Stegostoma tigrinum: one gene and its partners. The protein of the gene in region 2 purifies or fractionates together with the protein of the main gene of each other region. This does not show direct contact. Links are inferred from orthologs where the notes say so. Each region holds a gene or a part of one and is shown on either strand. Other genes may lie near its edges. The genes, in order: sirt6, usp48 and uba6.

The links.
Region 1: the proteins of usp48 (region 2) and sirt6 purify together in Homo sapiens (affinity purification with mass spectrometry; 3 studies listed by BioGRID, with this or other methods). This does not show direct contact. The link is inferred for Stegostoma tigrinum from reciprocal best matches to the Homo sapiens genes USP48 and SIRT6.
Region 3: the proteins of usp48 (region 2) and uba6 fractionate together in Homo sapiens (co-fractionation; 3 studies listed by BioGRID, with this or other methods). This does not show direct contact. The link is inferred for Stegostoma tigrinum from reciprocal best matches to the Homo sapiens genes USP48 and UBA6.

The regions. Positions count from the first base shown.
Region 1 is NC_081383.1:37,838,438-37,846,442, forward strand, and holds the start of sirt6 (NAD-dependent protein deacetylase sirtuin-6), read right to left. Parts: upstream 3,098-8,005; 5' UTR 3,041-3,097; coding exon 2,975-3,040; intron 1-2,974. UniProt on the Homo sapiens protein: NAD-dependent protein deacetylase, deacylase and mono-ADP-ribosyltransferase that plays an essential role in DNA damage repair, telomere maintenance, metabolic homeostasis, inflammation, tumorigenesis and aging.
Region 2 is NC_081381.1:45,487,444-45,494,386, reverse strand, and holds the start of usp48 (ubiquitin carboxyl-terminal hydrolase 48), read right to left. Parts: upstream 3,086-6,943; 5' UTR 2,921-3,085; coding exon 2,787-2,920; intron 1-2,786.
Region 3 is NC_081356.1:17,087,800-17,095,675, reverse strand, and holds the start of uba6 (ubiquitin-like modifier-activating enzyme 6), read left to right. Parts: upstream 1-4,866; 5' UTR 4,867-5,053; intron 5,054-7,876. UniProt on the Homo sapiens protein: Activates ubiquitin by first adenylating its C-terminal glycine residue with ATP, and thereafter linking this residue to the side chain of a cysteine residue in E1, yielding a ubiquitin-E1 thioester and free AMP.

The DNA of each region.
Region 1 (8,005 bases), on a different chromosome or scaffold from region 2:
GGCTATCCCTATCTCCTACCTCAGTTTTGTTAGGAAATTGTCAGTATGCTCATCAGATTCTGTCTCGGGCCTTAAATTCACACTGATAAATCCAATGTTTTGACTCCGGATAAAAATACATGCCAAATCTAAAAAAAATTGTGTTGGGGTTTCTGCTGTCATCCTCAATCTTCAACTATTAAACAATTTAACCTTTCTCTCCTGCCTGCAGGTTCCTTCATTTTTGCTAGTGCCTTTAGAGAGGTGCTGAATATCAGTCTGCACTTTCGTTCAAATTTCTCAGATGCATCTTCAAATGGGGCACATTTAATTGAAGTTTGAATGCCACCCATATCGTTGCTGTTACAGCCATTCCGTTTTCTGACAACAATTTAGTTTTTCCACACACTCTGGTACAAATGTAGGATGACTTCTTCTTCCAATTAATTCAGCACAAAATTCATTTAAAATATTTCAGTTTTCACTAACAAACAACCACTGCCACCATGTCATGCATTCCAGTGCCAGTAAATTAAAATAATCTCACTTTAGATCAGTACTAGTGTTTCACTGAGTGCATTTTTTGCTGCTCTCCATAGCGGACTGCGACCAATACATTGTTACTTTGCAATGTAACTGCAGTGCAGAAGTGAAATGTGACAGAGGAACAGGAGTAGATCAGTCAGTCAACTAAGACTGCTCTGCCAATCAACTCAATCATGACCAATTATCTACAGAGGTGTTACTTTTCCACACAATGCCAGTTTTCAGAAATCGATTTCTGCTTTAAACTGCTCAATGACTCTGGGGAAGAGAATTCCAAAGATCCAACATTGTCAGTGGAAAAAAAAGTGCTCCTCATCTCAATCTTATTTGGCCTGCCCCCTATTTGAGATAACATCCTCTGATTTTGGACTCATCAGGCAGAGGGAGCATCCTCTCTATAGCAACAATGCCGTGCCCTGTAATTTATTTTGTGAATTTGAAAGAAATCACCTCTCATCCCTTCAAACTCTAGGGACTAAAGATCCTGTTTCTGCAGGCTCTCTTCATAAAACAATCCCACCATTGCAACAATTAATCAGGTTAACCTCTATTGCACATCTAAGGAAGGATTTACTTTACGTAGAAAAGCCAAACAGAACTGTACACAATAACCAGGGTGTGTACATGCCAAGGCTCCATAAAATAGCAGGAAGACATTTTTACTATTGTTAATGTTTTGGGTCCAGTGGCCCTTCCTCAGACTGGACCCAAAACGATGACTCTCATTTTTCTTCACACATGCTGCTAGACTTGCTGAGCTTCCAACAACTTCTCTTTTTGTTCCTGATTTACAGCATCTGCAGTTCTTTTAGTTTTACTTTGCTTTTGTCCTTAAGTTTATTTGTTATGAAGACTAATATTCTATTTGCTTTTAAAATACTTGTTTCACCAGCATGCTAGCTCTTAGTAACCAAAGATACCTAGATCACTCCTTCCCAATCACATAATGATCATCCTGCCTTTCAGCTTTTCAATCAAACTCAATACTTTCATAAAGTTCTACTATATTCCATCTGGCATGTTCGCTTAGATTGTCGAAATTCCCTTGAAGGCTTCACACAACTTACATTTTCATTACATTCAGCATCATGAGCAAATTTGGAAACATTGAAACTGGTCCCCATATCCAAATAACAAAGTGTGGATGAACACAGCAGACCAAGCAGCACCTTAGGAGCTCAAAAGCTGACGTTTCGGGCCTAGACCCTTCATCAGAGAGGGGGATGGGGAGAGGGTTCTGAAATAAATAGGGAGGGGGGAGGAAGGCAGACTGAAGATGGATAGAGGAGAAGATAGGTGGAGAGGAGAGTATAGGTGGGGAGGGTATAGGTCAGTCCAGGAAGGACAGACAGGTCAAGGAGGTGGGATGAGATTGGTAGATGGGAAATGGAGGTGCGGCTTGAAGTGAGAGGAGGGGTAGGTGAGAGGAAGAACAGGTTAGGGAGGCGGGGAACGAGCTGGGCTGGTTTTGTGATGCAGTGGGGGGAGGGGACGAGCTGGGCTGGTTTCGGGATGCAGTCGGGGAGGGGGAGATTTTGAAGCTTGTGAAGTCAACATTGATACCATCCGGCTGCAGGGTTCCCAAGCGGAATATGAGTTGCTGTTCCTGCAAACTTCGGTTGGCATCATTGTGGCACTGCAGGAGCCCCATGATGGAAATTTTGTGTGAGGAATGGGAGGGGGAGTTAAAATGGTTTGCAACTGGGAGGTGCAGTTATTTATTGCGAACTGAGCGGAGGTGTTCTGCAAAGCGGTCCCCAAGACTCCGCTTGGTTTCCACAATGTAGAGGTAGCCACACCGGGTACAGTGGATACAGTATACCACGTTGGCAGTTGTGTAGGTGAACATCTGCTTAATATGCTTGGCCTGCTGTGTTCATCCAACTCCACACTTTGTTATCTTGGATTCTCCAGCACCTGTAGTTCCCATTATCTCTGCTTACTCTTCAGCCTTCTATTAAGCCATTTTCCATCCAAATTATTTTATTCCCACCCATCCCCAATACTACATACTCTAATTTCATTTGCTAATCTCTTGGTACTCCAGAATATATATCCATGTAACATAGATCGTTCTCTTTCAGATTAATAAAGCAATGAAACCAAACCCTTACAGGGACATCTGTGATGTCCACCATCACTAGCAACCTCCCTCTCCCAATCCACGGCCGCCTCCAACGTTAAGAGGGTCCCCACACAGTGGAATCTCCTCGGTCCTTTTCTCCTTCACCCCCTCCCGCATCCCCGCCTGCCCTCCCTCACTGATCTTCGCCTCCTCTTCCCGTTCCTCTGGGGGTCCCGGCCAAACAGTCTCTAACGAAGGCCCCAGTCCGGAGCTGGACGCCGAGGTCTCATGACCCCGGCGCCTCCCCAGGATGCGAGCCTATCCAAGGACAGGCCCGGAATCCTTTTCCCCCTGCAACGACATCTAAGCGGCACAGCCTCTTACCTCCGGAAGGCCACACTTGCCCTTGTGTTCGTACTCAGACAGTCCGGCCGCGTAGTTCACGGACATGGCTCCAGCACAACAACCCGGGCAGGGGCCTGCGTGACGTCACCAGGCCGTGCAGGCAGGACCTCCCGGAGGCCAGAGGGCGCTACAGAACAGGTGATAGGTAGCTTCGGGGGAGGAGAGGCGGGTGGGAGGCGCAGGTCGGAATGGGCATGGAGTAGGAGGGACCGGACAGAGAAACGGGGATGGTGCTGGGTGCGAGAGCGAGAGGAGAACAGTGCTGGGGGTGGGGTGACAGTGCTGGAGGGAAGCAATGCTGGGGAAGGTCATGAGGGGGAGCAATGCGCGTGTGCACAAGGCTGGGGGAGTGAAAAAGGCAGGGGGTGAACAAGGCTGGGGGGGGGGCAGGGGGTGAACGAGGCTGGGGGGGGGGCAGGGGGTGAACGAGGCTGGGGGGGGGGCAGGGGGTGAACGAGGCTGGGGGGGGGGCAGGGGGTGAACGAGGCTGGGGGGGGGGCAGGGGGTGAACGAGGCTGGGGGGGGGGCAGGGGGTGAACGAGGCTGGGGGGGGGGCAGGGGGTGAACGAGGCGGGGGGGGGCAGGGGGTGAACGAGGCGGGGGGGGGGGGGGGGGGGCAGGGGGTGAACGAGGCGGGGGGGGGGGGGGGGGGGGGCAGGGGGTGAACGAGGCGGGGGGGGGGGGGGGGGGGGCAGGGGGTGAACGAGGCGGGGGGGGCGGGGGGGGGGGGGCAGGGGGTGAACGAGGCGGGGGGGGGGGGGGGGGGGGGGCAGGGGGTGAACGAGGCGGGGGGGGGGGGGGGGGGCAGGGGGTGAACGAGGCGGGGGGGGGGGGGGGGGGCAGGGGGTGAACGAGGCGGGGGGGGGGGGGGGGGCAGGGGGTGAACGAGGCGGGGGGGGGGGGGGGGGGGGCAGGGGGTGAACGAGGCGGGGGGGGGGGGGGGGGGGCAGGGGGTGAACGAGGCGGGGGGGGGGGGGGGGGGGGCAGGGGGTGAACGAGGCGGGGGGGGGGGGGGGGGGGCAGGGGGGTGAACGAGGCGGGGGGGGGGGGGGGGCAGGGGGTGAACGAGGCGGGGGGGGGCAGGGGGTGAACGAGGCGGGGGGGGGGGGGGGGGCAGGGGGTGAACGAGGCGGGGGGGGGGGGGCAGGGGGTGAACGGGGCAGGGGGTGAACGAGGCGGGGGGGGGGGGCAGGGGGTGAACGAGGCGGGGGGGGGGCAGGGGGTGAACGAGGCGGGGGGGGGGGGGGCAGGGGGTGTGAACGAGGCGGGGGGGGGGGCAGGGGGTGAACGAGGCGGGGGGGGGGGGGCAGGGGGTGAACGAGGCGGGGGGGGGGGGGGGGGCAGGGGGTGAACGAGGCGGGGGGGGGGGGGGGGCAGGGGGTGAACGAGGCGGGGGGGGTGGGGGGGTGAACGAGGCGGGGGGGGGGGGGGGGGCAGGGGGTGAACGAGGCGGGGGGGGGGGGCAGGGGGTGAACGGGGCAGGGGGTGAACGAGGCGGGGGGGGGGGGCAGGGGGTGAACGAGGCGGGGGGGGGGGCAGGGGGTGAACGAGGCGGGGGGGGGGGGGGCAGGGGGTGAACGAGGCGGGGGGGGGGGCAGGGGGTGAACGAGGCGGGGGGGGGGGGGGCAGGGGGTGAACGAGGCGGGGGGGGGGGGGGGGGGCAGGGGGTGAACGAGGCGGGGGGGGGGGGGGGGGCAGGGGGTGAACGAGGCGGGGGGGGGGGGGCAGGGGGTGAACGAGGCTGGGGGGGGGGGCAGGGGGTGAACGAGGCTGGGGGTCAACAGTGCTGGGGAAGCGGGGGTGCAACGGAACTGAGGGGAGCAATGCTGGGGAGGGTCGAGGAGGGGAACAATGCTGAGGAAGGTCGGTGGAGGCCAATGCTGTGGAAGATTGGGTGGGGTGAACGAGGCTGGGGGGGGGGGGCAGGGGGTGAACGAGGCTGGGGGGTGAACGAGGCTGGGGGGGGGGGGCAGGGGGTGAACGAGGCTGGGGGGGGGGGCAGGGGGTGAACGAGGCTGGGGGGGGGGCAGGGGGTGAACGAGGCTGGGGGGCGGGGCAGGGCAGGGGGTGAACGAGGCTGGGGGGGGGGCAGGGGGTGAACGAGGCTGGGGGGGGGGGCAGGGGGTGAACGAGGCTGGGGGGGGGGGCAGGGGGTGAACGAGGCTGGGGGGGGGGGCAGGGGGTGAACGAGGCTGGGGGTCAACAGTGCTGGGGAAGCGGGGGTGCAACGGAACTGAGGGGAGCAATGCTGGGGAGGGTCGAGGAGGGGAACAATGCTGAGGAAGGTCGGTGGAGGCCAATGCTGTGGAAGATTGGGTGGGGGGCATAATGCTACGGAAGGTGGGGTTGGAACAATGCTTGGGAAGGTCCATGTTGGGGGATCAATGCTGGGGAAGGTCCGTGTTGGGGGAACAATGCTGGGGAAGGTCGGGTGGAGGGGTAACAATGCTGGGGAAGGTCCGTGTTGGGGGAACAATGCTGGGGAAGGTCGGGTGGAGGGGTAACAATGCTGGGGAAGGTCCGTGTTGGGGGAACAATGCTGGGGAAGGTCGGGTGGAGGGGGAACAATGCTGGGGAAGGTCGGGTGGAGGGGGAACAATGCTGGGGAAGGTCCTTGGTGGGGGAACAATGCTGAGGAAGGTTGGGTGGGGGGGTAACAATGCTGGGGAAGATCCATGGTGGGGAAACAATGCTGGGGAAGGTCCTTGGTGGGGGAACAATGCTGAGGAAGGTTGGGTAGGGTAACAGTGCTGGGGAAGGTCGGGTGGTGGGTAATCATGCTGGGGAAGGTTCATGTTGCGCGAACAATGCCGGGGAAGATTGGATGGTGGGGAAACAATGCTGGGGAAGATTCATGGTGGCGGAACAATGCTGGGGAAGGTCGGGGAACAATGCTGGGGAAGATCCGTGGCAGAGGAACAATGTTGGGGAAGGTCGGGTTGGGGGTAACAAATGCTAGAGAAGGTCGAGGGGGGCAGAACTGGATCATGCTGGTGAATATCGAGGGAGGGGGAAGATGCAGTGTGGGGGAATATTGGGGAGGGAGGTGTAATGCAGGGGAGAGTCATGGGAGCACAGTGCAGAGAACGGTTGGGGGAGGGGGGTTGCAATGCTGGGGAGGTCGGTGTGGGGAGCTCAGTGAGGGGAAGGGTCAGGGACGGGGGGTGCAGTGTGGGCAGGGTTAGGGGACGGTTGGGGGAGGGGCGTTGCAATGCTGGGGAGGGTCGGAGTTGGGGGCGTACAATGCCGGGGAGGGTCTGAGGAAGGGGATGCTGAGTAAGGAGACGGGAAGCTGGGGAAAGTGGAGGTGGGAATAGAGAGGAAATGGGTCTGAGGGCAGGGGAATGGAGAGAAAGTGGAAGGGCTGTGGTGAGAGGTCTGGGGAGGCCTGGAGGGAGGCTGACGAGGGAGAATGGACAGAGAGTGCGATGTAGGGGATGAACTGGCAGGGAATGGTCTGAGGGGAGCTGAGGAGAGGGGCAGAATGCAAGGAGACATTCAGATCATCACCTCTGAATTAATTAACCCCACTCCTCTTCATTAAATTGAAGCTCCTTATTCCTGGTACCATTCTCTTAAATCCCTCCTGTAACCTCTCCTCGGACTTGGCACCTGTCATAAAGTGTGTTGACTGGAATTTATAACATGCTCGAAACACACAGGAGTGTGGATGAATCTGCGTTTAAAAATTCCAAGTTGCTGTGAGAAAGGAGTTTGGGAGGTGACGGACAATGTGTGGAGGGGGAGATCTCTATAGGTCAGGTAATTGGGGAGAGGTCGGCAGAGACAATGGGGATAGATGCAGTAGTCCAAAGGGGCTGGAAAGAGCTGAGGAGCCTGCAGGCTGAAAGTGAGATGGGAGGGAGAAGCTATAGTGTGAGAAGTGCTTAGGACAAAGATGCTGCCAGGAGTGTGGATGGTTGGTGGAGGGTGAGAAATGGAAATTAATTGGGATGCAAGAGGAAGAGAGGAGCTGGAGAAGTAGGCAGGCAAGAATGAGTGAGTCTGAAAGGGTAAAAACAGAGAGAGAGAGACTGCAAAGAAGAACAGTTTCAAACTTGTCAACAAAGGAACAGACAGCTAACTGGGAGCCCGGGAAATTTGAAATCACTGAGGTAATGAATGATTTGCAAATGAATGAAGTGTCCACGACAAGGCTGGATATGTACAGGAGTTACTGTCTGAAAAAGATTGTCAAGGACTGTATTGTAGTGAACACCATGTCAATTATTAAATTTAAATCTGTGATACTGAAACTGCTTGGTTGAAATATTCCAGTTTTGCGAGCTTGTGATGGAAACTCATTGTGTGACCTCTCCAGTCTCCAGAATGTGTTTGTTAGGTTAATGGCTTCTTGCCTATAGAACTGTGTCACTTATTTTGAAAAACTTCAACTAAATTTGTGTTGTCTTTTGTTATTTAAATACTGCAGTGTCTAATAAATTAATGTTTCCCTATGTGTTGTGTCTTTAAGTTTAGTGAAGGTGATAGTAATGTCAGAAGGCTAAGTTGAGGTTAACTGAGGAATGTCTGTGTGATTGCCCACTGATTCTCCAAGTGACAGTCCGTGGGAGGAGCTAACAGAGACGGAGAATTGTATAGCACAGAAACAGACCCTTTTCAGTTTAAATCTTCCAGATATCTGATCAGATATCTTAATCTAGTCCCATTTGGCTGAAAGCAAAGTACTGTGTTATGTTGGAGATATGAAATAAAAATAGAAAGTACTGGAGCTTCACAGCAGGTATCATCATTTATGCGGAGAGAAAGTTAGGGTTAGACTTTTGTCAACGTTAACTTTGGGCTGAATCTTTCCATATGTTGACTGTCATTTTCAATGACTTTCATGGAGCATTTCTCTCCATTGCGTCGACTGAAATTTCCCATGCACGTGTCCCAAGTATGACGCGTTATTTGCCTAACCCTAACCAAGCCCCTAAGCTGCTGCTATTGTCCAATAGTAGCCTGCCTTTCTCACTTGATGTTGCTGGAAGAACTCACTGATACCAG
Region 2 (6,943 bases):
ATGGGACACTAGCAGTAAGATAAATCAACTTATGACAGGAATCACATTTGGCTGAGCAGCAAATATTTGAGTGTAAAAAATGCATTGTAATAAGCAGACAATCTGGATTTAAAACTATCCTGTTTAGCAGAAGTGAAGTACACAAATCTTAACTCATACAGAAATCCACTAATCATCTTTATCACCAGGAGTCACTCAGCTATACAAGAATAGAGGCTCTCAGCTGAAGAAGAGGTGACTTGCCCTTCATGTCTGTGCCAGCCTACTCTGACTTTCCTGCATTTGGTCCATAGGCCTGCACTGCATCTAGTCACCTTTCTGCTTCTACAGTGTGTTCCCATTCCCTTCCACCCTCTGGGTGGAAAAATCTCTTCATCTCCCTCAAATCTGTCTACTAACCACTTTAAAACCTACGCCCACTAATCACTGATTTCTCTGCTAAGAGCAAGAGACGCTTCCCCTTCATTCTATTCAGGCCCATCACAATTTTGCTTCTTGGAGTAACTGGTCATCTCAATCAAATCTCCCATTAGCCTCCCCCATTCCATGGTGCATAAGCCCAGACCATCCAAACTTTCCTTGCTGTTACATTTTCCCCAATTCCAGCAGTATCTTGTAAATCTCCACCAAAGCAATTACATCTCTTTCTATAACAAAGTGACCAGGCTTGTACACGGTACTCAAATTGTAGCCTATTAACAATTTGTACAGTTCTTGCACAGCACCACCCCCCTTCTGTGTTGGCTTCCAGTATGACAAAAGCTCACTTTTGAAATTCTCACCATCATCTTCAAATCCCTTCCTAGATGTTGTTGAGCACAGTGACAGAATGTCAGAACGAAAACAAGCCAGCTCAGCGAGCAAGTCAACAATCTCACGTAGGTCCTTCCATTCTCATTTGCTTCTACAACCCGGAGAACTGTGCACCTACAGTTCTGATTCTCTTGTTCCACGTTCAAAACTAACTCTCCTCCTGCAAGGTGCTCCCTAAAAAGGATCCTCCTTATATTTGGTCACCTAATCTAATATCTCAAACTCTGACTGCTTATCATGAGAGGACCTTGACGATTTTTATAAATCTGGAGGTATTAAAATATACATGTAAGTTGTTACAATCCAATTTCTCCAAAATTGCAACATTCAACAAAAAGTTTATTTCATTTTAATATTTCACTAAAGATTAAATGTATCATTTAAAATCAGGTCACTGGCTACTTTTCTACCAATTTGCAACTTCTATCTAATACATTTTATAAACAGTTTTACTATCTGCTCGGAATTCATTGCCCCAACTTATTTTCTGCAAATTTAGATCAAAATGCTTTGAGGTTCTGAACAATCTGTCAGAATGACAATATTGTTTCCAACAGCAAGCACCAATATATGAGGGGAGCTACTTTTCTCTGACATCCAGTCAGTAGCAACCTTACAGATGACAGACAACTTGGATTAAACAGCTACTGAACAGTTTTCACATTGCGTTTAATGGTGGCAAATCTGTCCTCTGAATAAAACAAGATTTGTACTGCACACAGACACACCATTGAGTAGCATACCAGGACGTCAACCTGGTTGTTCTGATTACTTAACAGAAGAAGACTCCCATTCTGAAAAGGTTATCTTTAAAAGTAACTCCAAAATTTTATCCTTAAGCACCAATATTTTGCATTTATTATTTTGTTAGCAATAACTTTTAAATGTCACCAAGTAGTGTAACCCTAAAAAAGTTATAATCTTGCATCAGATTTTCCAAACTTCAGGTCAGACATTGACAACTAGTCTCAAATGACAGCCTGCTAAATTGTCTTTTGGGCGGGTGAGGGGAGGGGGGGGGGGGGGGGGGCAGGAGTTGGTAGAGAAGGCGAAGAGATGGAAAGAAATACGTGACTTTTTTAGAAATCCAGTTTTACATCACAGATAACTAGTTGGGTGCGTAGAAACTATTATTGCAGAGAAGACAAGGGAGGTAGGGAAAAGCTCAAAGTGTAAAACTGAAATCAAGCCAACATGTCACCTTACAGGTCAAATGAGCCACTTTATGTATCCATTTAAATGAATTCAAAATACAGAAAAAAAAAGGTGTTATTGAAGCCTACCGTGCTTCTGCCACAGAGCTGTCTTATTACCTTCATACTCATGAAAATTTCCTCAGTTCCAGTAAAATATTTATTCAATTCTCTTAAATGTGAATGTTGAGACTGAATATACTTCTACTGTCCTCTTAGGCAGTGCAATCAAAATTTTAAGGAGACACATGAAAATCTGTTTCCTCACCATGGTAAACAAATCAGGGTAATCATCCATGTCCTTCCTCACCAGCTCTCCATTATTCCAAACAACCAAATAAAGTGAAGCAAATGCAATTTGCTTCTTGGAGTAATTGGCCCCAATAATGATTGTTAAGATAGCCACCTATACATCTGGGTCAAGTGGCATCAGCTACTGGCGAAAGACACCCTCTAAGTAAGAACGTGCCTGCACATTGATTAATTGACATCACCATGACCGTGTAATAAATGTGCACAGGAACGTGAGGTTCAGGGTCAGGAGGCGAGAAGGGTACAAGGGATTGGAGGGGCGGGTGGAAGAGCGAGCAGACAGTTAGGAAGTAAAGGAGAAGGCTGAGGCACGGGGTGATTCAGGGAGATTTTGTGGGGGTGTAGCTGGGGAAGGGATGGTTCAGAGGGTGGTGAGGGCGGACCAGGATGGACCTAGCGCCTTGGGCCGCCCCTTGCTCTAAAGCGGTGGTCAATGCGGCGACGCCCGCCTTCCCTCCCGGCCCTTACCTGCGGGCGTCCCTGCGGCAGGAACCGAGGCGGATGCGGTACGCCAGCTCAATATGCTCCTGCTTCACCTCGTCCGGCCTGATGCTCTCAGTCCACTGCCAGGCCGCCTTCTCTAGCTGCTGCTTGGGGGCCATAGGCGCCGCTCAGCCTGCGGCCGTGGTGTGGGGATTGTCCGCTCGCCGCGCCTCTCTGGTTCACTCTGCCCCCAAAGCCGGCCTAGCCTGGCCCGGTCCGGTCCCGCCGCGGCCTTCACTCCGAGCCCTAGGCCTGCTCCGCACCGCCAAGCAGCCGGGATCCTGACGTAGAACACACAGGAGCACAGATCCAAATGATGTCATAACTACTACGCGTAATGACGTAGGGCACACAGGCTGGAAACCTGTCTCAGTGTGCTCTTGTAGAAATGTATCTTTATTATGTTGCAGTCAGATTATACTCACCTGAACTTTATTGTAACACTCATGATCAGCTCTTATTTCGGTCCCTGAATCGTCTTTAGTCAGACAGTGGTGTAGAGACTTTCTAATCAACCTCCTAAAGATGTTATAACACATTTTGGACTTCATTTTCACTATCCCTTTCGAGCAGGACACGTTAAGATGAACATTCTGTACACGATTGCGGTAAGCACACAAGGAGCAAGATGGATGAATTTCAGGTACAAAATTCGGCTTAGAAGCAACGACATGGTAACTCTAGTTGAGACAGGCTAGGCTGCCAGATAGGAGATTTGTGAGAAAAGTTGGAGAGACGATGAACTTCAGTGACATAAATCGAGCTTAGTTGAGGAGAGACTACGTATCGGTTTTCACATTCACGTGGCTTGGTGTCCAAATAGGAAACATACTGTTTCAAACTGTTTTTGTTGGTATTGAACCAGGGGGCCCTTTTTTTAAAAAGATGTTTGGAAAAAGTGAAATGGCAACAGAATAGAAAATGTTTTACACAGCAAGTAGTTCACGTCTGAAATGTACTGCCCAAGAGTGTTTGGGTGGGGAAGGGGTGATCTGATGCAACCAATACAATCAAAAGAAAAGGCAATGGAGAAGAGTAGTTTAGTCCAACGAGGTGAGCAGTTGCCTGTATAGGGAGGTGGCACAGAGTCATCAGACCAAATTCCTTTTGTGCGGTAATCATTCTGTGATTCTACAACTCAGAACTAAATACAGCAAGTGTAAGATTTACAGGAAACCCAGGGAAAACTATAGTAAAGTGTTGCCTTTGTGGTTAAGGGTGAAGTTGCTTCAACTATGAGAGGGGGGGGGGACAAATGGCAGGAAGTAAGCAGGTAATGGCGATAATATTAGTAGAATTAAGAAATAGTAAAGGATTTAAGACTGTAGTGGGAGGCGTGCGCAGGCCTCAAAAAGCATCCGTGGGTTGGTGCAATCACTTGTACCAAAAGCTCTGAACATATCAAATACCAAACAGGACAGACCACCCGCATGTTGTGGTTGGTTGGTTGGCTCGCTGAGCTGGTTTGTTGCTGTGCAGACACTTTATTAACCTGCTGGGTAACATCATCAGTGCAGCCTCCGATGAATGGAGTGTATATGGGGGTCAAGCTCCTTGTGTTTGTTGATGGCTTTCTACACTCCATTCTGAAGGAAAACTAGAAGTGAGGTAATCTAGCTCAACAAACTCCACAGTTTAAATATCAGGTGGGAAAACACAACGACGCTTCATCGGAGGCTGCACTGATGATGTTACCCAGCAGGGTAACGAAACATCTACAGAACAACAAACCAGCTCAGAGAGCCAACCAACCACAACATCCACAACCCAAGCTACAAATCTACTGTAAAGCCTTATACGCCCAACGTCATCCCAGACAAGTTACACCCAGCCCAGTCATCCTTAAAAGTGTACCTCCCTAACTCTGAAGACACAAAACTGGGGATGCTAATCCATAGATTAGGCAAGCAAGAATCTCACAGTTGCAATCATCAAATCATCATACCTTACAACTGATATCTCAGGCTTTTCCATTTGCAACCCTGAGTACATTTGGTTCCACCAAAAAGACAGACTTTGATTTTTATTTGGTTTATTATAGTCACATGTACCTAGGTATAGTGAAAACTTTGTTTTACTTACAGTACAGGCATATCATACCATACAAAGTGCATTAGGGTAGTAGTAAAGACGAAGGAACACAATGTTACAGCTGCAGAGAAGGTGCACAAAGAATGAGATCAACATTAAATTCAAGATTTTAGAGGCCACTTCAGAAGTCCCATAACAGCGGGGAAGAAGCTGTTCTTGAATCTATTGGTGCATGTTTAAGCCTTTGTATCTTCTGCCTGACAGAAGAAGTTGGAAGAGATTATAACCAGGGTGGGAGGGGTCTTTGATTATATTGGCTATGGGAATCCACCAAGAAATTAAAGATTTGAGGACAAAGGAATCGGGGAGCCAACTTTCTACTAGCTAAAGTCATATCCAGAACAAGCAAGATGGTCGAAGGCCAAATCAATTGAAAATGGTCACTGACTAATCGACTTGTTTAGCTCAATTTGGGACTCAATACATACTTAAGCAGTTTGTGCCACGTGCAGCATATGCCAGACAACATTCAGGCTTGGGATATCACAAATGGCATTAAAGTTCCAGGAAGTGAGCATCTCCACAAGAAGAAATCTAATCATCTGCCCCTTGCACTCAATGACATTGTCCTGTTTTAATTCTACTATCAATAATATAGGGGTTAGCATTGACCAAAAGCGGAATTGGACCAGCACATAAATATTGCAGCCAAAAGAACAGGTCAGGAGAGAAGAATTCTACGATAAAAGTGACTCACCTCCTGACTGTCTAGAGCCTGTCTACCATCTATATTAAAAGAAACAAGAGTATTAGGCTGATGTATTATTTAATTGCAGGTCCAGCAACACTCAAGAAATGCCAAAATTATCCAGAACAAAATGGCCTACTTAATCCACCACCAAGCATTCACTCCCTCCACTATCAATGTACAATAGCAGCCGTGTATGCCATCTGCCCAGGTACGCTGTAGCAACTCACCAAAGCACCTTCAAAACCTGCAACATCTACCAGAAGGACAAGGGCAGCGGATAGAATACCACTGAATAGAAATTCCACTTCAAGCCACACACTGAGGAATGATATCAGCATTTTCTTCATTGTTAGAATTAGATTTTGTTGTAACATGCATTCAAGTCCAAATACAGAAGTATGGCGAAAAGTTGCCATAGTTTGTCACCATCTTAAACTGCAAAATACAAAACCAAAGTTTCTAGATTTAAAATCTTGTCTCCCTAGGCCTTGCCCTGTCACTGGGTCAACATACTGGAACAATCCTGAAATCATTGTGCATTATGTGTATAGGAGAAAATACCTTTGTTTTTAGAAGGTGGGCATGACATCACCACGAGGGCTTTATTATGATTGGGGGAGAGATGGCGGGATGGGTCCTTTTGTTCCATCTTTCCATTAGCTACAAAAAAGGGTGTGTTTTAAAGATGAGGTGTTTTAACTCCTTGTGTGCAATGACTTCCAAGAATGGATACAAAACATGCTTTGTCATAAGATTTCATTAAAATACGTAATCATTTATTTTTCTCAACACAAGAAATAAGACCATAACAACACAGTTGCTACAAATGAGGTTGCCTACTCAAAGATGTTGTCCAAAAAGTCACTTTTACCAGTAGTCTTCAAGACAACAGCCAAAAACATTGCAGGCCTGAGGATTCTCCCCGGTTCACTGAAGACAGTAGAGGTTGGTGACAAATGCACAGTGGCCTACTTCTGCAATTCAGTAGATACAAAAATAATCCCATCCTGGGATGAAGATACACAGAGGTGTTGGGGGAATCACACCCAAGAAACCTGTGAAAATTCCACCACAGGGTCACACAATCCAAGAGACCTCAATCTCCCACTCTCATACATAGGAGATACACAAGCTATGAAACCCTGTTTCTCCAATCTCAGGATCTTTCTCATCTGCATTTGCTGCTGATAGGTTCAACTGTCTACCTATTACCAACAAATATGGGAGAGAACTGGCCTGTAATTGGAGAAGCATATGTGGTGTGTGCTACCAACTGCAAGCTGCATTTGGCCTTGAAGTTGTGGTTGTTTACTATTACTATTTACTATTGTATAGAGAGAAGAACTAGGCTGCAGAGAGG
Region 3 (7,876 bases), on a different chromosome or scaffold from region 2:
CCCCTCTCCTCCTCCTTTTCTCCAATGAAAAGAGACCGAGCTCAGTCAACCTCTCTTCATAAGATAAGCCCTCCAGTCCAGGCAGCATCCTGGTAAACCTCCTCTGAACCCTCTCCAAAGCATCCACATCTTTCCTATAATAGGGTGCCCAGAACTGGACGCAGTATTCCAAGTGCGGTCTAACCAAAGTTTTATAGAGCTGCAACAAGATCTCACGACTCTTAAACTCAATCCCCCTGTTAATGAAAGCCAAAACACCATATGCTTTCTTAACAACCCTGTCCACTTGGGTGGCCATTTTAAGGGATCTATGTATCTGCACACCAAGATCCCTCTGTTCCTCCACGCTGCCAAGAATCCTATCCTTAATCCTGTACTCAGCTTTCAAATTCGACCTTCCAAAATGCATCACCTCGCATTTATCCAGGTTGAACTCCAACTGCCACCTCTCAGCCCATCTCTGCATCCTGTCAATGTCCCGCTGCAGCCTACAACAGCCCTCTACACTGTCAACGACACCTCCGACCTTTGTGTCGTCTGCAAACTTGCTGACCCATCCTTCAATTCCCTTGTCTAAGTCATTAATAAAAATTACAAACAGTAGAGGCCCAAGGACAGAGCCCTGTGGAACCCCACTCACCACTGACTTCCAGGCAGAATATTTTCCTTCTACTACCACTCGCTGTCTTCTGTTGGCCAGCCAATTCTGTATCCAAGCAGCTAAGTTCCCCTGTATCCCATTCTTCCTGACCTTCTGAATGAGCCTACCATGGGGAACCTTATCAAATGCCTTACTGAAGTCCATATACACCACATCCACAGCTCGACCCTCATCAACTTTTCTAGTCACATCCTCAAAAAACTCGATAAGGTTTGTAAGGCATGACCTACCCCTCACAAAGCCGTGTTGACTGTATTTGATCAAGCCATGCTCTTCCAGATGGTCATAAATCTTATCCCTCAGAATCCTTTCTAACACCTTGCAGACGACAGACGTGAGACTTACCGGTCTATAATTGCCGGGGATTTCCCTATTTCCTTTCTTGAAGAGAGGAATTACATTTGCCTCTCTCCAGTCCTCAGGTACGACTCCAGTGGAGAGCGAGGATGCAAAGATCTTCGCAAGTGGCGAAGCAATTGCATTTCTCGCTTCCCAAAGCAGCCGAGGACAAATCTGATCCGGGCCTGGCGACTTGTCAATCTTAATGTTTGACAAAATTTTCAGCACATCAGCTTCGTCTATCTCTATCCATTCCAGCATGCACACCTGCTCTTCAAAGGTTTCATTCACTACAAAGTTCGTTTCTTTCGTAAAGACAGAAGCAAAAAACTCATTTAGGGCTTCCCCTACCTCCTCAGGCTCCACACACAAGTTCCCTATGCTATCCCTGATCGGCCCTACTCTTTCTTTGACCATTCTCTTATTCCTCACGTAAGTGTAAAATGCCTTTGTGTTTTCCCGGATTCCTTCTGCCAAGCCTTTCTCGTGCCCCCTCCTGGCTCTCCTCAGACCATTTTTGAGCTCCTTCCTTGCCTGCATGTAATCCTCTCTAGCTGAACTTGACCCTAGCTTCCTCCACCTTATGTAAGCTACCTTCTTCCTTTTCACTAGAAGCTCCACCGCTCTCGTCATCCAAGGTTCCTTAATCTTACCCCTTCTTGCCTGTCTCAGAGGGACATATTTACTCATCACTCCCAACAACTGTTCCTTAAACCGTCTCCACATGTCTATAGTTCCCTTACCATGGAACAACTGCTCCCAGTCCATGCTTCCTAACTCATGTCTAATTGCATCATAGTTTCCTCTTCCCCAATTAAATATCCTCCCATTCTGCCTAATCCTCTCCTACTCCATAGCTATGTAGAATGTGAGGCAGTTATGGTCACTATCACCAAAATGCTCTCCCACCACAAGATCTGATACCTACCCCGGCTCGTTTCCGAGCACCAAGTCTAGAATGGCCTCTCCCCTCGTCGGCCTGTCAACGTACTGCGTTAGGAAACCCTCCTGAACACACCTTACAAAAACAGCTCCATTCAAATCTTCTGCTCAAAGGAGGTTCCAATCAATATTAGGAAAGTTAAAGTCACCCATTACAACAACCCTACTGCGTGCACACTTTTCCAAAATCTGTCGACCTATGCTTTCTTCAATCTCCCTGCTGCTATTGGGGGGCCTGTAGTAAACCCCTAACGAGGTGACTACTCCCTTGCTGTTCCTAATTTCCACCCATACTGACTCAGTAGGCAGATCTTCCTCGACAAAGGAAGCTTCTGTAGCTGTGATACCCTCTCTGATTAGTAGTGCTACACCCCCTCCTCTTTTTCCCCCCTCCCTATTCTTTTTAAATGTTCTAAACCCTGGAACATCCAGCAACCATTCCTGCCCATGAGAAACCCATGTCTCTGTTATGGCCACAACATCATAGCACCAGGTACTGATCCATGCTCTAAGTTCATCACTTTTCTGCCCTGCTTTCATCAATCTTGTCACTTTTTCAAAAAACATATTAAGTTAGTGAGACATAATTTCCCACACACAATTTCCCACACACAAAGCCACCCCGACTATCCATAATCAGCCCTTACCTTTCCAAATGCATGTAAATCCTGTACCTCAGAATCCCCTCCAACAACTTGCCCACCATTGATATCAGACTCACCCGTCTATAGTTCTCTGGCTTTTCTTTACCACCTTTCTTAAATAATGGCACCACATTAGCCAATCTTCCAGAACATCACCCATTGTTATATCTCAACCAGGTGTTTCCCACAATATTCTGGGATACATCTGATCAGGTCCTGGGACTTATCCACCTATATGAATGTTAAGATTTCTAGTATCTCCTCTTCTGTAATTTGGGCACTTCTCAAGATATTACTATTTATAAAGCTGCCTCATGTCCCTATTTTCTCTCCTGATTTCTCCCTTAAATATATTCCTACTGTTCTTATACACCTCTTGGGAATCATTCAATCCTGGGTGTCTATACCTGCCATATGCCTCCATCTTTTTCTTGATCAGAGCCTCAATTTCTCCAGTCATCCAGCATTTCCTGCACCCACCAGCCTTGGAATATAGAAGAATGAAAGCCAACCTTATTGAGACAGACAAAAACTCTTAGAGGATTTCACAGTGTTGCCTGCAAAATCTTCTATACATACGCATCAACTAATTCATCCCTGATAAAATGCATTTACCTAGGTGCTCTTACTAGATAAGACAAACAAAAGAGTATAGTTCTAACTTAATTTTAGTAAATTACTTGCAAGTTAAAGAACTCTTACACAAATTAAAGTTAACTTTCCCAAACTGGGCCAACTGTTGGAGAGTTATGATATTGCCAATTATGTTTCAACAAAATTGACCTGCTGCTGATGGTACTGCAATAACATGGATACCTGTTAGAATTATTTAAAATCCATCACATTTAGTTTTCTCATGTAGTCAAAATAACCAGGCTTTTACTAGCAGATCCTTCTACCAATATTATATCTTTTGAATCCTACAAGTTAAAAATAATGAGTTCAACTCAAATTCTGGAACTTCATCCAGTGTTGTTCCTTCAAATTTCCATGTGGTGAATAGATTAATACTTTTTTTTGTTGCTTGGCATGACTGTAGCGCAGCAGTGATGTGGTCACCTCAATATTTCCTGAATCTTTACGGAAAATGTAATGATACAACATATGATACTGCCGCTGTTATTATTCAGACATTGAAGATAACGGGAAGAACTAATTCAAAACTAAACACTTCCTCAAGCAATTTGGAAATGTGCAGAAGTTAGAGATTTTTAATTTTTTTTCAAAAATCTAGAGACAAAATGAAAAGAAGCATTTGACAGAGGTAGTTGTAATAATTTGGACTGTATGATCTCAAAGTGAAAGAATCAGATTCCATAGCATCACATCTTCCGATTGGACACCCTACAACTTTTAGGATTCAATATCAAATAATAATTATACAACCTGAACACCTTCTTCCATGTCCTTCATCCACCCTCAACACCTCAGGCCCAATCATGAAATGGGGTTCTTTCAGCACAGCCAACACATTTTTCACTGTCTTTTGGTCCCCAATATCAGTTTTTCTTTCTTCTTATGGACTATCATTCCATCCCTTTATCTCCAGAACTTTCATTCTCTCCCTTTCTGGGCTCCATCTCTGCCTATCTGCTCACTCAGATACCCTCAGCATTTATTATACATTACTCCTTTCCCTGGAGTAAATCAGTTCTGGAGAAGGATAACTAGACTCGAAATGTTGACTCTGGTCTCTGTCCACAGATGCAGCAGGACCTGCTGAGTTCCTCCAGCAACATCTGTATTTCTCTCAGGTTACAGAGTTAATGTCCAAATGGAAATATGTTAGAGGGATTGCTTGGTAGAACGAGTGTGAGTACATTAAATGGACAGGATTAGTTTCCTGAGATAACACAGAATGGACCTGGAGGAACAGAGCAGGCCAGGCAGCATCAGACGATATTTTCTGAAAGGGTCCCAACCCGAAATGTCAACTTTCTGGAAGGGTCCCAACGCAAAATGTCAACTTTCACCCAAAATGTCAACTTTCTGGAAGGGTCCCAACGCAAAATGTCAACTTTCTGGAAAGGTCCCAACCTGAAATGTGAACGATCTGATGCTGCCTGGCCTACTGTGTTGTCTCTGGCTCCAGCATCTGCAGTTCTTTCTATTCCTAAAGGAGTAAATTCCTGTTGTGTATGGTGCTAGCTATTTGCTTGTACTCTGAACAGTGAATGAATGTCATTGACCATCTCTGCAATGCTGCAGGTAACTCCCAACCCGTGACAGGACACGGCAGCTGGCCCGGAAGTGTTTGCGGCTGCGCGGGGCGGGGTGAAAGGTCACCGTTTCAGTTAGGATCCGCTCGGGCTGACGGCGCGGTCTTGAGGCCTGTCGGTGAAGGCCGCATCACCACCGCCATCTCTATCTCCATCTCTGGGAGGCTGATGCAGCTGCGTGCTTCCCGTGTTCACCCACAGAGTGCCCCGAGCCGCTCACTCTGTCCTCACAGGTCCCGAGCATCACGGTGAGTAAGCAAAGCACGCACGGAAGGGAAGGTGGGTACCGCCGGCGGCACCGGTAACCAGCTGACACTCACCGCGGCACGGTCTGTGTAATCTTCCGCCCCCCCCCCCCCCCCCCCCCGTCACTGACTGCGGCACGGTCTGTGTAACCCCCCCCCCCCCCGTCACTCACCGCGGCACGGTCTGTGTAATCTTCCGCCCCCCCCCCCCCCCCGTCACTGACTGCGGCACGGTCTGTGTAATCTTCCGCCCCCCCCCGCCCCGTCACTGACTGCGGCACGGTCTGTGTAACCCCCCCCGTCACTGACTGCGGCACGGTCTGTGTAACCCTCCGCCCCCCCCCCGTCACTGACCGCGGCACGGTCTGTGTAACCCTCCCCCCTGTCACTGACTGTGGCACGATCTGTGTAACCCCCCCCCCCCCCCCCCCGTCACTCACCGCGGCACGGTCTGTGTAAGCCCCCTTCTCCACCCCCCCCCCCGTAACTGACCGCGACACAGTCTGTGTTAACCCCCCCGTCACTGACCGCGACACAGTCTGTGTTACCCCCCCCGTCACTGACCGCGACACAGTCTGTGTTAACCCCCCCCCCGTCACTGACCGCGACACAGTCTGTGTTAACCCCCCCCCCCACCCCGTCACTGACCACAGCACGGTCTGTGTAAGCCCCCTTCTCCACCCCCCCCCGTCACTGACCGCGACACAGTCTGTGTTAACCCCCCCCGTCACTGACCGCGACACAGTCTGTGTAAGCCTCCCCCGTAACTGACCGCGACACAGTCTGTGTTAACCCCCCCCCGTAACTGACCGCGACACAGTCTGTGTTAACCCCCCCCCGTAACTGACCGCGACACAGTCTGTGTTAACCCCCCCGTCACTGACCGCGACACAGTCTGTGTAAGCCTCCCCCGTCACTGACCGCGACACAGTCTGTGTAAGCCTCCCCCGTAACTGACCGCGACACAGTCTGTGTTAATCCCCCCCGTAACTGACCGCGACACAGTCTGTGTTAACCCCCCCCCGTAACTGACCGCGACACAGTCTGTGTTAACCCCCCCCCGTAACTGACCGCGACACAGTCTGTGTAAGCCTCCCCCGTAACTGACCACGACACAGTTTGCGTAACCCCCCCCCTCACTGTCCGCAGTGCAGTCTGTGTATACCCCCTTGTCACTGAAAGTGGCAGGGTCTGTGTAAACCTGCCATCGCACTGACCACGGCGCGGTCTGCAAAAACCCCCCCATCACACTGACCACGGCGCGGTCTGCAAAAACCCCCCCATCACACTGACCACGGCGCGGTCTGCAAAAACCCCCCCATCACACTGACCACGGCGCGGTCTGCAAAAACCCCCCCATCACACTGACCACGGCGCGGTCTGCAAAAACCCCCCCATCACACTGACCACGGCGCGGTCTGCAAAAACCCCCCCATCAGACTGACCACTGCACGGTCAGTGTCAACTCCCTCCAACACACTGACAGTGGCACAGTCTGTATAAGCCTCCTCAGACTGACTGCTACATGGTCAGTGTGTACCCCCCTCAGACTGACAGTAGTGTGGTCTGTGCAAGCCCCTTTACCCCAACTCCCACTGACTGCAGCACGGTCTGTGTAAGCCCCCCTGACACTGGCCGCAGCACGGTCTGTGTAAACATCCCCTCACGCTGACGGCAACACAGTCTGTGTAAACCACTCCCTCACACTGACTGCAACACTGTCTGTGTAAACCACTCCCTCACACTGACTGCGACACTGTCTGTGTAAACCACTCCCTCACGCTGACTGCGACACTGTCTGTGTAAACCACTCCCTCACGCTGACTGCAACACTGTCTGTGTAAACCACTCCCTCACACTGACTGCGACACTGTCTGTGTAAACCACTCCCTCACGCTGACTGCGACACTGTCTGTGTAAACCACTCCCTCACGCTGACTGCGACACTGTCTGTGTAAACCACTCCCTCACACTGACTGCGACACTGTCTGTGTAAACCACTCCCTCACACTGACGGCAACACTGTCTGTGTAAACCACTCCCTCACACTGACTGCAACACTGTCATTGTAAACCACTCCCTCACACTGACTGCAACACTGTCTGTGTAAACCACTCCCTCACACTGACTGCAACACTGTCTGTGTAAACCACTCCCTCACACTGACTGCAACACTGTCTGTGTAAACCACTCCCTCACACTGACTGCAACACTGTCTGTGTAAACCACTCCCTCACACTGACTGCAACACTGTGTAAACCACTCCCTCACACTGACTGCAACACTGTCTGTGTAAACCACTCCCTCACACTGACTGCAACACTGTCTGTGTAAACCACTCCCTCACACTGACTGCAACACTGTCTGTGTAAACCACTCCCTCACACTGACTGCAACACTGTCTGTGTAAACCACTCCCTCACACTGACTGCAACACTGTCTGTGTAAACCACTCCCTCACACTGACTGCAGCACTGTCTGTGTAAACCACTCCCTCACACTGACGGCAACACAGTCTGTGTAAACCACTCCCTCACACTGACTGCAACACTGTCTGTGTAAACCACTCCCTCACACTGACTGCAACACAGTCTGTGTAAACCACTCCCTCACACTGACTCCAACACAGTCTGTGTAAACCACTCCCTCACACTGACTGCAACACTGTCTGTGTAAACCACTCCCTCACACTGACGGCAACACAGTCTGTGTAAACCACTCCCTCACACTGACTGCAACATTGTCTGTGTAAACCACTCCCTCACACTGACTGCAACACAGTCTGTGTAAACCACTCCCTCACACTGACTGCAGCACTGTCTGTGT